Macaca fascicularis: one gene and its partner. The protein of the gene in region 2 purifies or fractionates together with the protein of the main gene of each other region. This does not show direct contact. Links are inferred from orthologs where the notes say so. Each region holds a gene or a part of one and is shown on either strand. Other genes may lie near its edges. The genes, in order: NFKBIE and RELB.

Region 1 (8,194 bases), on a different chromosome or scaffold from region 2:
GAGCTCACCGCTGCCCTAGCCCCCACCTGGCGTCCATGGTCCAGGCCGCGTGGGGTGGAGGGGGACCGGGGAATGCGAGTCCCCGGGCCGCGCACCCCCTACGCTCCCTCCGCTCCCGCCGCCGCCTCCAGGAGCGGCCAGCGAGCCAGCGGCCAGCGGAAGTGCCGCGCTCTTCCCGCCTCCCTCCCAGCGGTCCCCTCCGCCCCTGCCGCGACCACGCAGCGCCCCGGGCCGCCGCCGGGCCACAGCGCCCCCGCGCGGCCCGGAGGCAGACGCGGCTCGGGTTCCGGGGAGCTGGGCTGCCCCTGGGCGCGGGGAGCGCCAGCCCTGAAGATGCGCCCGCCCGGCGCCTCCCCTGTGCTTCGTCATCGCCTTTGGCCTTCATAAGCGTCCCAGAGGTCATGGTGACCATTGCCATCTTGCAGACAGGACAGTGAGGCTCTGCATCCCAAGCCCCTCCTCTGTGTTAGTTTCCCCGTTTTCTGACAGAACGAAGGTGTCTCTTTCCTTTGTTGGCTGGGTAGTAATTCTGTCCCCCCACTTCCCATGACTTTCGAGGCTCTACATGGCCTCGCCAGCGTTCCTCGCCCACTCACTCACCCGCTGTGAAGCCCCGCTGGCTTGCTCTCATTTCCTCTAATTCACAGGCCTTCCCCCAAATGCTCTGCCCCCATCCCTTTACTCATCCTTACATCCCAGTTGAGATGATACTCCTCAGGCGGGGTTCCCGGACCACAAAAAGCATAACCCTCTACCGACTCCATCCTTTTCCTTCCCATTATTCTTTTCCCTTCATAGCACCCACTGCAACTTGTAAGGACATCTTTATTTGGATGTTTATGCTTTTAACGGCTGTCTCCCTCACTGGATGAGTGGTCAGCGACTGTGCTGGTTTATTGCCCCACGCTCTTCATGCCAGCATAGGGCTGACCTAGCAGGGCCCTCGAAGGTGAGGAATGGGAGGAAAAACGTGGACTCAGCTCCCTTGTGCCCAGCCTCCCTGGGTTACCCTTGTCGCCAGGCTCCTCCAGATGGCAGCCCCCAGGGCAGTGGTGAGGGCTCCAGGGCCTGTGTCCTCTCATTCTTCCTCCTCTCCTTCTATCCCTCATCATTTCCACAGCAAGGACAGGGTCTGTGCTGGACACAGAGAAAGGCCTGGGGACTACTGGCCTCTGACCCCACCCAGCAAGGTCCTACCGTGCTCAGGGCACAATTTCCTTCTCTCTACCTCCACGACAAAGCCACAGGGCAGGCCTGTCTAAAAAGCCCCAATGCACACAGACATGCATGCGCGCAAAACAGCTCTAGAAGGGAAAAGCTTTTTTTAACATCTCTTGCCATTTTAGTGTCATGTTACTGAAAGTTCCTTCCCCAGTGGCTCAGTTCAGAACCTTCCCTGTGAAGTCTTTAAACAGCAGTGTTTAAGGGTCCTCAACAGCAATAAGATGGGACACCCCTCAGGGTTCTGCTTGCTCCTATTTCAGTCTCTTCTCACTCAGGAGAGTCCATGTTTCCCACTGGTTGGCAGTTTCAGCCTGACCCAACATGGGCACACACAAGAGCACCTGCCATTTTCAAGAGAGGCAAACAGGCTTCACCCAGGATACCTGGGACTTTGGGGATCTTCCAAGAATCCCTGTCCACCTGGAAAGCTCTTCCTTCCAGACTGGCTGTCTCTCACTTGCAGTCCCTCCTCCTCAGCTCAGGACTGTACTGGCTGGCCCCAAGCTCTGGCCACAGCAGTCCCTAGGGCACCAGAAGAACACACAGCCTGGGCCCAAACTGCAGCAGTTATGACTCCGGCTTCCAAATGGAAAGAGATGGAGCCCCGAGGATCCCAGACTCTGCCTGGATTCAGTCGGTACACAGCAGCAGTTTCCCTGAGATCTTCAGGTCATCAAAGGGCAAAAGGACAAGGGACTGAGAAGGAGAATGGAGAGAAGCAAGATCAGAGGACACGGGAAAAGGCAACTTGGGAAAGGGGACCCAGGGAAACCTGTTGGGCCACTCCCTCCCCACCAAATGACAGTTGAAGACCATCAGGGAACAAATCTTCATACAAATCCTCAAAATAGTGGCCCCTCTGGGCTTGGCAGAGCCCTGAGGACTTAGGCAAGCCTTCCTTTTCTAAGATAATGCCAGAATATCCAACTTAGGAGGGACCTTAGAGGTGATCCAGCCCATGGACCTGGAGTTGTTTGTTGTTGTTGGGGGGTGGTGGAGGGGGTGCTGGGTACTCATAGAACATTTAGGTTTCTTTTTTTACACTGAACATTTAAGAATAGGAAAGACTGTACAGAAAATCTGGGTTTCACCTCCCCAAAAATTCCAAGACCAGGAAAAACTGGCCCACACTCCTGCTCTGTAAGCCTGTGCTGAAGCTGAGTGCAGAGACCCTCAGGGATGGCTCTCTGGGTTCTTACAGGCCTCATTACACCATGGTCTCATACCTGGCCAACTTCACTGATTCACTTTAACTGCAGGCTCCCTGTAGGGGTCCAAATTTGGCTCCCTGGTCCTGACCAACTAAGGAAACAGGCTCAAGTTCCCATAGTTGGTCAGTGATAGAGTCCTGGTTATACCCCAGGACTCCTGGCTCCCTGGCCCTTTCAGCTAATGACAGAACCTCTCTCTGCTGTGGGTGTGTGAGGCCCTGGAGAGCAAAGCATATGCTTCTTACTTCCTCAGTGAGGTCCTGGGGCGTCTCATCCTCCACGTTCCGCAGCAGGGAGTCAGCACCCGCCTTGCACAGAGTGGATGAGATGCCCATGAGGCCCCGGCCAGCTGCCAGGTGCAGGGGTGTGCACCCGTTCAGCATGCGGGCATCTACCTGGGCACCAGCCTGGAGCAGGAACTGTACCAGGCCCCGCTCTTGGGTTTCCACAGCCAGGTGCAGCGCTGTCTTCCCACTGGTGCCCTCCTGGGAAGGAATAAGGATGTCAGCCAAGGCCCTCAGAGGCAGTGTGCTGGGCCTGGGCTCTGGATAAGGAGGTGAATGCCACCACTTCTGACTGCTGGGCAGGGGCTTGGGGCTGTGTCAGGTGGGGGCAGGCCCTGGGCTGGGCAGTGCTTTGCTGGCTGCCTCACCTGCACGTCAATGTCAGCTCCATTCTGAAGCAGCAGTTCCATGAGTGGTTGGTTCTTCTGAAGGGTGGCAATGTGGAGACAAGCCAGACCTGGGATGGGGTGAGGGTGAGGGCTGCTCATCTGCATCCACCAACTCCCTCTCTTCTGGGACCTCCCTATCACTCAGCCCCAAGGGACTCACTGCCCACTCAATGTCTCTAATCACAAGACTGTTAAAATGCAAACCCCAAAACCCCCTCAAAAGTCTAAGGGGAAAGGAACTCAAAGTTTCCACCTTTTCAGAGTCATGTTATTGAAACTTTCATGCTTCAGGGGTCAGGCTGCTGAGTGACACCCCCAAAGAACACCCTCCTCCTATACACAAATCACAACACACACACACACACACACACACACACACACACACACACACAACCTGCCTTCAAGCCCAGAAAGCCACCTTTTCTGAAAAGCCACCTAAGATCCTCATGACCCTAGCCCTTTCTCAGTGGCCACTTCCTTCTGTGCTCCCCTGGCCTTTTTGCTCTCCTTTCTGGTCTGGACACTCCTGACCCTTGCTTAGTAATAGAGATTTCGATTCAAATTTACATTCTTCACCTCCTTCAAGGCCCTATTCAGATGTCACTGGCTCCATGAGGCCTTCCCGGGCCACCCTATTTAACAATCATATCAACTCTCCTACTCCCCACATTCCTTCCTCTCACTCCGCTCTACTTTTTACTACAGCACTTACTTCCTTTTATGATATTACACAGTTCACTTCTTATATTTATTGCTCATCTCAACCTTTCTCTATTTTGCACCCAGATGCAGGTGTAGCTCCCAAGATAATGTCTGGCACATAGAAAACCCTCAGTACATTTCTGTTGAATGAATGAATCAGGTCATCTAATCTCTATTAAGCTAACTATCTTTTTTTTTTTTTTTTGAGATGGAGTCTCTCTCTGTCGCCCAGGCTGGAGTGCAGTGGCCCAATCTTGGCTCACTGCAAGCTCCGCCTCCCGGGTTCACGCCATTCTCCTGCCTCAGCCTCCTGAGTAGCTGGGACTACAGGTGCCCATCACCACATCCGGCTAATTTTTTGTATTATTAGTAGAGACGGGGTTTCACCATGTTAGCTGGGATGGTCTCGATCTCCTGACCTCGTGATCCACCTGCCTTGGCTTCCCAAAGTGCTGGGATTACAGGCGTGAGACACCGTACCCGGCCCTTAAACTAAGTATCTTAAGGGCAAGATTTAGTTTTCTGCTCAGCACACAGTAGGTACTGGGTAAATTCAAAATCAAATCATCCATTCATTCATTTAGCAAAGATGTACGGAATATCTATGTGCTTAGAGTGGGAGGGGCACCAATGGACAAGCTGGGACCCTCCCTTCCCCAAGAGTGGGGTCCCTATCTCCTATGCCCTCCTCATCCCACAGGCCCTTAAGACTGTCCACACCTTGCCAGTTTTGCAGCTGGAGGTCCAGAGAGTGAGATGTTCCTCTGCCTGGCTCTGGCCGCCCCTCCAGCAGGCAGCGGGCACAGGCCAGGTGCTGGCGCTGGCAGGCCACATGAAGGGCTGTGTCACCATGCCGGTCCTGTAGTGCCCGGCTGGCCCCCTTTAGCACCAGTGCCCGAACTGCACCCGGTTGGTCCAGATGTACAGCCAGATGGAGTGCTGTCTGGAGGCACAAACAGAGGGTCATGGGGCCACTGCAGCATGCTCCCACCTCTGGGAACCTGCTTGGGCTCAAGAATCACCAGCTGCCAGCATCTTCTTTGAAAGTAGCTCATTAAGGCCATAGCCTGTTCTTCCAAGGAAATCCTACCAAGCCCTTCTCCTGTCACCCCCTCCCCCACCAAGCTCTTGTGACCCCAATTCTGGAAGAAAGGTGAAGAAAGTAGCTCCCTGCTTTTCTTGTAAGTCACCTTAGGCCCTGGAGAAAGGACATGTGGGGGCAGAGTCTAGCCCCCCACCCCATGGGGAGACCTCTGTTACCCCCAGAGGGTAGGCTGCAGGAGGAAAGAGAGGCACCAGGCAGTCCCTCCCTGGCGAAACTCTCTGTGAAGGCTCCATTCAGATGTCATCTCCTCTGTAAGCCTTCCCTGGCTGCTGCACACAGACCCTGGACCCTACAGCAGCTGGTATGTGTCTCTATCACAACTCTTGTCACCAGGCTGTGTATTTAGCTGGTGATATGAGTCCCCCAGCCCAGGCTGCAAGCACCTCAGCGCAGAGGCCATGTCTTACTTGTGTCTGTCTCCTCAGTTTCTAGCTGTGTCTGGCATTTGGTTTCCTAAGTGAGCAGCCTTTGGACTGGTGTGCCTGCTGGGGATGGCTGCCAGGGCACAAACAGGTATCTAGGCACAACCCTCTCTCGCCACCAACCTGGTAAAGGTTATTTTGAATGTCCAGGACCTCCTGGGGCAGCAAAGCCAGGCAACAGAGCAGCACCGCTGGGGCCTCGTGAATCACTGCCAGGTGGACCAGCCTAGGGGAGCAGAGGCGGGGCTCAGCGTTAGGGCCCAGGCCAGAGGGAGTGGGTTGGGGTCTTGGGGTTAGAAGGAACACATCAAACTTTAACTAGCTACCCATAGGGTAGGTTCAGGAAGTGAGAGTGTGGGCCAGGAAGTGAGGGTTGGTGTGGGAAGCCAGGATCCTAGGGGTTGGAGCTCCAAGTTCCCACTGCTGGCCTTCAGGAGGGCCTTGGCTGGATGGGCATGTGGGCAGGGTGCTGACAGGACAAGGGCCTTCCTGTCCAGCCTGCCCACACCCACTCCTCTTTGCCCTCAGGGCTCTGCCCGGCCAGCTGCAGCTCAAAGCCAAATTGAAAGCTGCCGAAGTAGTCCAGAGGGGGTTTCCAGGCCGAGCACCCCACTACCTCAGCTCACAGGAAAGGAGACAGATGCAGGGTCACCCCATACCCCCAAGCAACTCAATGTTAACACATTCCAAGGGAGAGACACAGAAACTCTTGGAAGAGGAGCAAGGAGACAGTGCAGCATCCTGTCCTGCTGCCCTTCCCTGGGAGTCAAGAGACACCTCTCAGATAGCACAGACCAGGTCGGGCCTAACAGAGGCCATCCATTCCTGTGTGCACCTCCAAGAGGAGGTCTTTGTAGTGCAGAAAATGTATTTGTTGAGGGGGCCAAGAACCTTAATCTAGGGGTAATGGGGGCAGTTGGGAGGGGAAGTTCCAGTCTCGGGGTTTCCCCACGTCAGGTGGGGAAAATGAAAGCCAGTGCTGGAGGGTCTAGGCCGGGACAGCTGCCTTGGGGCATGAGTGAGGGGGGTAGCTTGGCTAAAAGGCCCGTCTGGACTGGGGAGGGGACTGCTTGGGCAGGAGGGCGGCAGGCTTCGGCGGCAGGCAGCAGGAGAGGCCCAGGAGAGTGACGGAGGGAGGGAGGAACTGCTCTGGAAATCCCCTCGGCCAGGGCCTGCTCTCTGGGTCACATTCTTGCAGCCACCTCCCTCTCTTCCCCAGTATCCCCTCCTCCCACTTCCTCTTCCCACTTCCATACCTCCCACAGCCCAGACACCTCCAACGGAGGGAGGAAAGTGCCCCTCCTCTCTGGGGACTCGCTGGGAAGCCCGGACACTTCTCCCCTCCACACACACACCCAGTCTGGACACAACACCTGCTTCTAACTAGAGATGGAAAAGGCTGGGGCTGAGAGGCTAACAAAAGACGGCAGTGTCAAAAGTTCCCTCTCCTTGGATCAAAGGTCATCAGAGGTATCTTGCATGCAGCCCCCAAAACCTTGGGGTTCTGGACCTGAGGGCTGGTGATCCAGGCAGAGTACAGAAAGGACTGGGTCACTCCTCTCCCACCCACTGTGTGCACCAGCTATCTTTATCAATGGCCACCCAGGATTGGGACCCTGCATCTCCAAAAAGCAGGTTAGGACAGCCACCTCCTGCCTCCCCTACTCCTATTTATATGAGCACCCTTGATCAGGGATTCTAGCCCTCCCCAACTCTATTTCTCATCCCCAGATCCCAACCTTTCCCTCCTGTGTCAATGTTTTCTTCTTCCTGGGGGGCTAAATCCTCAGTTGGCCAACCCATCACACACAACTGCCTTTTACTTCAACTGCCCTCTGGCCCACTCCCACAAAACTCCACCTGGGTCTGAAGGAGGAAGGGTTAAGTGAGGGAGTAAGACACAACAGTTAGTGGGACTTGGGGTCTCTGGAGGTAGAGGATATCAGGGACGCTGACTCTAGCCCTCACTTCCCCTTTCTTAGCAGAGGAGGAAGTAAGCTGGGGCAGCCAGCCGCCTATCTGTCTGCTGGGGCAAGAGTGCCCCAGCCTGGCTCACCCCCTCCTCCTGAGGACCAGCCCCAATCCTACACCCTGGTGGCACCCCCACGCCTAGCTTCCTGGCCCCTACTGGCAACCTGTAACTGGCACCTGTTGCTCCTGGAGACAGAGCATTCTGAGGTCAGGAACTGGGAATCCCAGATATTGAGCAAATAAGGATGTCCCCTTCCCCAGCAAGAAGAAACAAAAAAACTGGACTCGGTCAGGGGAATTTTCTCTTCCTAAGGGTGGATTATTGGTAGATTTCCAAGATGCTGGCTGGGGTCCCTGAGTTAAGGGTCCTGCCAGCTCTGCCCACCCCGAAATGGGAGAACAGAGATGATGCCATGGCCTGGCTGGACCTCAAAAGTTGGCTGAGAGTTAAGTCTGGAGTTTGGAACAGTGAATGGGGACTTGAAGGATCCTCACGGGGGAGTAGGGGTGCCCGGCCTGTTGCGGCTCTTGGGCAGGCCCAGAGTTAGCATCCCGCCTAGCCCCCATACTCACGTGTCTCCGTCCTCGGAGATGTAAGTGAGTGCTTCCAGCTGCTGAGGGCTCAGCGCCCCCACGTGGGGGAGTGGCGGGCGTGGGGCCGGGTCCTCAGCCTCGGGACCCCCCAGCAAGGACAGGCTCTCGGTGAGCGAGGAGGAGCCATAGGTGGAATCAGCCCGCTCCCCATCCGCGTCTTCCTTCTGCTGTGGTTCCTTGGCGGGCCCCGGAGGGTGGGTGCAGGGCTGGGGGCTGCCGTCCGAGGGCCCGGAGGCGGGAGCCGAGGTCGGCTCGGGTAGGGAGCGCAGAGAGCGCAGAGACTCAATGCCAG
Region 2 (8,087 bases):
GATTTCACCATTTTTGCCAGGCTGGTCTCAAACTCGTGACCTCAGGTGATCTGCCCACCTCGGCCTCCCAAAGTGCTGGGATTACAGGTGTGAGCCACCGTGCCCAGCCAACTTAATACTCACTCCTATTGTGTGCCAAGCCAAACCTCAAGAGTGGCTGAGCTCTTCTGGGAATGGGGAACCCAGCAACAAGCAAAACAGACAACGTTCTGGAGGTGGCCAGTCTAACGTCAGGACTGCTCTGAGGATTACAGAGACTTCCCTTTTTCTTGCTAACACCAGATCGGCACTGGGAGGCCACACCAAACGACACAGTATGTTACAACAAACAGAAGCTCTTGGGATCCTAACAATGACTATGCTCAAGAAAAGATTAATGAATATACTCCTGAGGAAATAAGCCTCTTGTCTTGACATACTTCCAAGCCCAGATTTTACCAGGATGACCTGTGTCCCCCAAACTAGGGTCCCCCACCCCAGACGAAAGGCCAGTTACTCACGATCTTTTCATAATACTCCCGTCTCCGCTCCGCCCTCTTCTTGTAGTCGACCATCATGCCTCGAAGTTTCCGCTCATGCTTCCGAGCCTCGTGCCACATTGTGGTGAGGCCAAGCCTGGGGCCTCAACCTGAGGGATGAAGGGACCAGGAAAGGAAGATGGGCTGTGAAAACCATATGGGCAGAATCAAAGTCATCTAACAAGTTGGTGACAGAGTCGATCCCAAACAACACATCGCTTAGCTTCAGGGAGCAGAAGTGAAGCTGCAGAACGGTATGCCAGATGTTCAAGTCCATCCCTAACAACTTCGATCTGGCAACTTGGGCATTCTAAAAAACCCTTAGGTGATTCTGAGGTGAGCATCCCTGGGAAAGGGGTGTCCTACATTCCATGCGCTGGAGTCGGGGATGAAAGTTTTGAAACATCAGTAGGGTCAGTAGTTTGAAGTAGGGTCAGACGGCAAACCCTGAGCACCTAAGGCTGGAGCTCAAGAGAAAGAGAAGAGCTGAAAAGGCTCCCACTAGGGGCCATGCGTGGGTATGAGTCTGGGTGCTAGAGGGATAAGGAAGGTAAGGATGAAGGCAGGTGGAGGAAATCGGAGAAAGCCTTTAAGGGAACAGTGCAGTTGCATGAAGGTGGAGGTCGAGGACAGGTGAAGGGCGTGGCGGAAAATGAAGATGCTAGAGGGAGTAGGAACACGGGAAGAGAGTGTTGCAAGGAGACCAGAGTGAAGTTGAGGTCTAAAGATGGGATCTAGATGGCAGGGTGTGGAGAGTACCCAAGGAAAAAGAGGGTAGAGCTTGAGAGAGGCGGAGTTGGCTGACGGGAGGGCGTGGGCTGAGCTTGGGGGCAGGGCTTGTGGGAAAGGGAGGAGACCGAAGGTTTGGACAGGGCTTGTGGATCGCGTCGCGGCCTGAGGATTTGGGCTGGATTGTTTTTTTTGGGTTTTTTTTTGACATGGGGGCGGGGACTGTGATAAGCTGTTGGCCGAAGGCCGAGTCCGACGCGGCAACTTCTGGCCCACAGCCGGGGCACGGGCGCGGCCTGAGGCCCGTCAGGCCGAATGGGGTGAGGGACGAGCGATCCTCGGGGCCGGGACGCAGCAGAAGCCTACAGCAGTATGGGAAAAGCCTAAGGAAAGGGAGAAGCTGGGCTGACGCCTGCCCGAAAACCGGGAGGTCGAGCCCGCCGCCTGCACTCACCGGCTGGTCTCCGCCTCCCAAAGCTGCGCTCGCGCGCTGCCCGCACAGGAAGCGGAAATGAAAGGCCGCGCTAGGGAGAGGGGGCGGAGCGTGGTGGAGCTCTGCACAGCGCAGTTCCGCCGACGTGAGGGGCGGGTCCTAGGGTTGAGAGGGGCGGGGTCAGAGGAAGAAGCGGTAGAACCGAGAAGGGAAGAGCTTGGATGCTTTATCTTTTTTAATTTTATTTATTTATTTTTATTTTTATTTATTTTTTTTTTGGATTGCAAAAATTTATTAAAATTGGAGACACTGTTTTAATCTTCTTGTGCCATGAGACTCCATCAGGCTGTCTACAAAGACCATTGGGAGGCTGAGGATCACTTGAGCCCAGACGTCTGAGGCTGTAGTAAGCTTCAGAGGGCCACTGCACTCCAGCTTGGGTGAGGAAAGACCCTGTCTTTCAAGCGGTAAGCTGCATGCTTGCTTGCTGTGGTCATTAAAAACCCTAGTTTAGGATAACAGGTCTGCCTGTTTGAAGATGAAAAATAATCCCATTTAAAATTTGCCCTACTCCATTTCCTTTTCAGTCACATTTCAACTTTTAAACAGCTAATCACTCCCATCTACAGATTAAGATGTATATGCCACTAAAACCTTTTGCCACCTTAAAAATTTCCTTGAGGCCGGGCGCGGTGGCTCAAGCCTGTAATCCCAGCACTTTGGGAGGCCGAGACGAGTGGATCACGAGGTCAGGAGATCGAGACCATCCTGGCAAACACGGTGAAACCCCGTCTCTACTAAAAAATACAAAAAAACTAGCTGGGCGAGGTGGCGGGCGCCTGTAGTCCCAGCTACTCGGGAGGCTGAGGCAGGAGAATGGCGTAAACCCGGGAGGCGGAGCTTGCAGTGAGCTGAGATCCAGCCACTGCACTCCAGCCTGGGCGACAGAGCCAGACTCCATCTCAAAAAAAAAAAAAAATTTCCTTGAAAGTTTAAACTAACCTGCATTTCTTCAAGCATGAAATCTGAGTCCTGAAATTAAGGGACAATACACAGTAAGACAACTTGCATACAATTAAGGGTAACCCAAAATCTCCAAACACTATAGAATGACTATATTCCCCTTTTCAGGGCATAAACTAGAATGTTACAGCCATCTTTTTATCTTTTTTATTTTATTTTATTTTTTTTTCTGAGACGGAGTCTGTCTTTGTCGCCCAGGCTAGAGTGGCGCGATCTAGGCTCACTGCAACCTTTGCCTCCTGGGTTCAAGCAATTCTCCCACCTCAGCCTCCCGAGTAGCTGGGACTACAGGCATGCGCCACCATGCCCGGCTAATTTTTGTATTTTTTGTAGAGACTAGGTTTCGTCTTTTTGCCCAGGCTGATCTCAAACTCGTGAGCTCAAGCGATCCTCCCGCCTTGGCCTCCCAAAGTGCTGGGATGACAGGCCTGAGCCCCCAGCCAGGAGGCTTTCTTTGCTACGTAAGGAACTAGGGCGTTTCCCAAGCGCAGAATAGACGAAACTCCCGAGGCTCAAAAACTCATCTTTATTGGGAAGACTCTGAACAACCAACCTACCCCCCACCTTCAAGTCTGGGGAGGAAGGGCCGGGCATCTGCCCCCTCCTCCCATATGTACAATCTTTTCCGAATCCTACTGGAGAAGGTTCCCCCACATGTGGTGACAGAGGCAGCTTTAACAAGCTAGTGCTCGGGAGCCATGTCCCTTTTCCTCTCCGGACTCAGTTTCCTCATCTGCAAAATGGGCTCAAGGGGAAACCCGTGCAACGGAGCTTCTCGCCAAGGCTTGAATATGTCCATTTCAGAAGCATGAGGAAGGGCCAAGGGGATGGGGGTGCTAGACATCCTGGTTGGGATTGCACAGCTCCTCCACCTCCCTCCCCACCCAGTGCCCCTCCTCTGGCATCGCGGGGCTACGTGGCTTCAGGCCCGGGGGATAGGAGGCCGCCCCCAAAGGCCGCCTCGCGGTACTGATTGGGGAACATGTTGCTGCCCACGAGGCTGGCGGTGCCTCCATCCCCGGGGCCCGGGGCCTGGTACGAGTCCAGCGTCAGCGGTTCAGGGCCAGGGGGCTCCCCAACCACGGCTCCGGCACTGCACACAACAGCGCTAGCATGTGGTGGTGCCGGGGGCAGCAGGTCCAGCATGGTGAAGAGTGTGGGGGCCGTAGGGTCGTAGGCAAAGCCATCATCCAGGAGGTCAGGCCCGCCAGGGGGCTCCAGGCCGGGCAGGGACACGGTGCCAGAGAAGAAGTCAGGGTCTGGCAGCAGGGCTGACGGCGGGAGGAACGGGCCTACGGGGATGAAGACAGAGAAGTGTAGTGTGATTTAGGGCCAACTTCTGACCAGGCCCTAATTCAAATGCCCCACTTCCTGCAAAATGTGATATCAAGGTGGCCTTTTTTTTTTTTTTTTGAGATGGAATCTCATTCTGTCGCCCAGGCTGGAAGGCAGTCGTGTACTCTTGGCTCACCGCAACCTCTTCCTCCCTGGTTCAAGTCGATTCCCCTGCTTCAGTCTCCCGAGTAGCTGGAACTACAGGCACGTGCCACGCCCAGCTAATTATTCTTTTTAGTAGAGATGGGGTTTCATCACGTTTGCCAGGCTGGTCTCGAACTCCTGACCTCAGGTGATCCACCTGCCTCAGCCTCCCAAAGTGCTGGGATTACAGGTATGAGCCACCAAGCCTGGCCTTAAGGTGCCATCTTAATCCCAAGGAGAATCCATGTGGGACTATCACCATTCTCAGATAATAACTAAATTGAAGGCCAAGAATGTAGCCTTTTGGCATGGTGGTTCACACCTGTAATCCCAACACAACATAGCAGACCCTGTCTCTACGAAAAAATTATTTAAAAGTTAGCTGGGTGTGGTGGTGCACGCCTGTAGTCCCAGCTACTTGGCAGGCTGAGGCAGAAGGATTGCTTGAGCCCAGTTTGAGGCTGCAGGGAAGTATGATTACATCACTGCACTCCAGCCTGGGCAACAGAGCAAGACCTTGTCTCTAAAAGTAGTGATAATAAGAAGTAAACTAAGGCACTGAGGGCACTGAGGGAAAGTCAGTGGAAGGCTCACACAACTGTTGTGGAACTAGCATGTGAAACCATGCTCCTACACAGCTGTGGAGAGTTTTCCCTGAGAGTGAGGAAGGAGAAGAGGTTCCAAAGCCCCCCAACATACAGAGACAACCCAAAAAGTGAAATCTCCAGACCATGGGAGACACAAGTTGGGAAGTCACCAGTCCCAAAATTGTCAGAAAAAATAAATGTCGGCCGGGCGTGGTGGCTCAAGCCTGTAATCCCAGCACTTTGGGAGGCCGAGACGGGCGGATCACGAGGTCAGGAGATTGAGACCATCCTGGCTAACAAGGTGAAACCCCATCTCTACTAAAAAATACAAAAAACTAGCCTGGCGAGGTGGCGGACGTCTGTAGTCCCAGCTACTCGGGAGGCTGACGCAGGAGAATGGCATAAACCCGGGAGGCGGAGCTTGCAGTGAGCTGAGATCCAGCCACTGCACTCCAGCCTGGGCGACAGAGCGAGACTCCGTCTCAAAAAAAAAAAAAAAAGAAAAAAAAAATGTCATTCTTAGGCATAATGAGGACTTAAGAAAAAATAACAATCAAATCAAAAAGTTTCATTATAAGAGGGATTCTCTGGCCAGGCATGGTGGCTCACACCTGTAATCCCAGCACTTTGGTGGGCCGAGGCAGGCAGATTACCTAAGGTCAGAAGTTCAAGATCAGCCTGGCCAACATGGCAAAACCCTGGCTCTCCCAAAAATACAAAAATTAATTGGGCGTGGTGGTAGGCGCCTATAATCCCAGCTACTCGGGAGACTGAGGCAGGAGAATCACTTGAACCTGGGAGGCGGATGTTGCAGTGAGCCGAGATTGCGCCACTGCACTCCAGCCTAGGCAACAGAGCAAGACTGTCTCAAAAAAAAAAAAGAGGGACTCTCTTTTTGGAACAAGACAAACCTTAGAGATACAAGGCTACTGGGACTCTTTTCTAGCCTTCCTTGCAGCCTGATGCGATCATGTGACTAAGTTCTGCTAACTGGAATGTGGGCATAATGGCTGGAGTTACAACAGCCATCTTGCACCATGAGATGGCAAACTGAAAATAACAGAAGCCTGGGTCTCTCGATGATCATGCAGTTACCAGACCATCCCTGGAACACACCTACAGACTGTTTTTTGTTTCTTGTTTTTGCCTTGTCACCAGACTGGAGCACAGTGGCACCATCTTGGCTCACTGCAACCTCCACCTTTTGGGTTCATATGATTCTCCTGCCTCAGCCTCCCGAGTAGCTGGGACTACAGGCATGTGCCACCACACCCAGCTAACTTTTGTGTTTTTAGTAGAGATGGAGTTTCACCACGTTGGCCAGGATGGTCTCTCTCCCTTGACCTCGTGATCTACCTGCCTTGGCGTCCCAATATGCTGGGATTACAGCTGTAAGCCACAGTGCCAGGCATGTTTTTTGTTGTTGTTGTTTTGAGAAGGGTCCCGTTCTGTCGCTCAGGCTAAAGTGCAGTGATGCAATCTTGGCTCCCTGCAACCTCCACCTCCTGGGTTCAAGTGATTCTCCTGCCTCAGCCTCTTGAGTAGCTGGGACTACAGATGTGCACCACCACACTTGGCTAATTTTTGTATTTTTAGTAGAAACAGAGTTTTACCATATTGGCCAGGCTGGTCTCAAACTCCTGGCCTGAAGCAGTCCACCCACCTTAGCGTCCCAAAGTGCTGAGATTATAGGCATGGGCCACTTTCAGTCCCTATGGACTATTTATGTGAGACAAGAAATAACGTTCCATCCTGTTGAAGCCCCTGTTATTTTGGGTTTTGCTGTAAATGCAGTTAAATGTGATCACAGGTTGGGTGCAGTGGCTCATGCCTGTAATCCCAGCATTTTGGGAGGCTGAGACAAGCAGATCACTTGAGGTCAGGAGTTCAGGACCAACCTGGCCAACATGGTGAAACCCCGTCTCTACTAAAAATACAAAAATTAGCTGGGCACGGCACCATGTGCCTGTAATCTCAGCTACTCAGGAGGCTGAGGCAGGAGAATCGCTTGAACCCAGGAGGCAGAGGTTGCAGTGAGCCGAGATCACACTATTGCACTCCAACCCGAGCAATAAGAGTGAAACTCCGTCTCAAAAAAAAAAAAAAAAAATGCAAGTTCCTAGGCCGGGCACGGTGGCTCATGCCTGTAATCCCAGCACTTTGGGAGGCCAAGGCAGGCAGATCACAAGGTCAGGAGATCGAGACCATCCCGCCTAACACAGTGAAACCCCGTCTCTACTAAAAATACAAAAAAAGGCCGGGCGCGGTGGCTCAAGCCTGTAATCCCAGCACTTTGGGAGGCCGAGACGGGTGGATCACGAGGTCAGGAGATCGAGACCATCCTGGCTAACACGGTGAAACCCCATCTCTACTAAAAAATACAAAAAACTAGCCGGGCGAGGTGGTGGGCGCCTGTAGTCCCAGCTACTCGGGAGGCTGAGGCAGGAGAATGGCGTAAACCCGGGAGGTGGAGCTTGCAGTGAGCTGAGATCCGGCCACTGCACCCCAGCCTGGGCGACAGAGCAAGACTCCGTCTCAAAAAAAAAAAAAAAAAAAAATTAGCCGGGCGTGGTGGCTCACGCCTGTAATCCCAGCTACTCAGGAGGCTGAGGCAGAAGAATGGCGTGAACCCGTGAGGCAGAGGTTGCAGTGAGCCCATATCACACCACTGCACTACAGCCTGGGCGACAGAGCGAGACTCTGTCTCAAAAAAGAAAAAAAAAAAGAAAAAAAAAAAAGCAAGTTCCTAATATCTCCTGGGCACTAACTCTGCGCCAGCCACCATGATAAATAACCGTACGACATCATCTCACTAAATTCGGGAAAGGACTGTAAGAGACAGGGTCTCCATCTGACAGATGAGTAAAGTAAGGCTCACAGAGGTCACACAAACTAAACTGCTAAACTGTGGGCTCAGATTTCAAACCCAGTCTGATCCCAGAGGCCATACTCCTAACCATTACACTGCAGTGCCTTGGCGGTACTGCTTCCACAAGGGAGGGGTGCTTTAGACCTTGGGAAACTGGGATACTGGGGAAGGTGGATGAATAGGGAAGGGAGTTTAGGAAATGGGAGAGCAAAGATTGGTGAAGTGGGCTAGGATTGGTGGTTGCTAGCGGCAGAGCTATCAGGCATTGGTTACCAGTTGCAGGGCAGGGGGAAGAACAGGTGGAGCTTCAAATCTCCAGGGTGGGACTAGGTCAGGTGGTCCAGGCTCAGCAGTCTGAGTGGTTAGTAGCTGGCTAGGAGCTGGGTACCTTAGCTGGGTGTTGAGGGCTATGTTTTTAGAGTTAGTAGTCAGTGGGTAGAGACTTTTCC

What was found.
Region 1: the proteins of RELB (region 2) and NFKBIE purify together in Homo sapiens (affinity purification with mass spectrometry; 3 studies listed by BioGRID and IntAct, counting the BioPlex papers as one, with this or other methods). This does not show direct contact. The link is inferred for Macaca fascicularis from reciprocal best matches to the Homo sapiens genes RELB and NFKBIE.

The regions. Positions count from the first base shown.
Region 1 is NC_088378.1:127,253,688-127,261,881, reverse strand, and holds the end of NFKBIE (NF-kappa-B inhibitor epsilon), read right to left. Parts: coding exon 7,882-8,194; intron 5,564-7,881; coding exon 5,461-5,563; intron 4,754-5,460; coding exon 4,531-4,753; intron 3,177-4,530; coding exon 3,088-3,176; intron 2,921-3,087; coding exon 2,681-2,920; intron 1,921-2,680; coding exon 1,855-1,920; 3' UTR 812-1,854; downstream 1-811. Other genes in the region: SLC35B2 (adenosine 3'-phospho 5'-phosphosulfate transporter 1), read right to left, coding at 27-37. UniProt on the Homo sapiens protein: Sequesters NF-kappa-B transcription factor complexes in the cytoplasm, thereby inhibiting their activity. Sequestered complexes include NFKB1-RELA (p50-p65) and NFKB1-REL (p50-c-Rel) complexes.
Region 2 is NC_088393.1:53,074,256-53,082,342, reverse strand, and holds the end of RELB (transcription factor RelB), read right to left. Parts: intron 3,996-8,087; coding exon 3,616-3,995; 3' UTR 3,214-3,615; downstream 1-3,213. Other genes in the region: CLASRP (CLK4-associating serine/arginine rich protein), read right to left, coding at 501-599.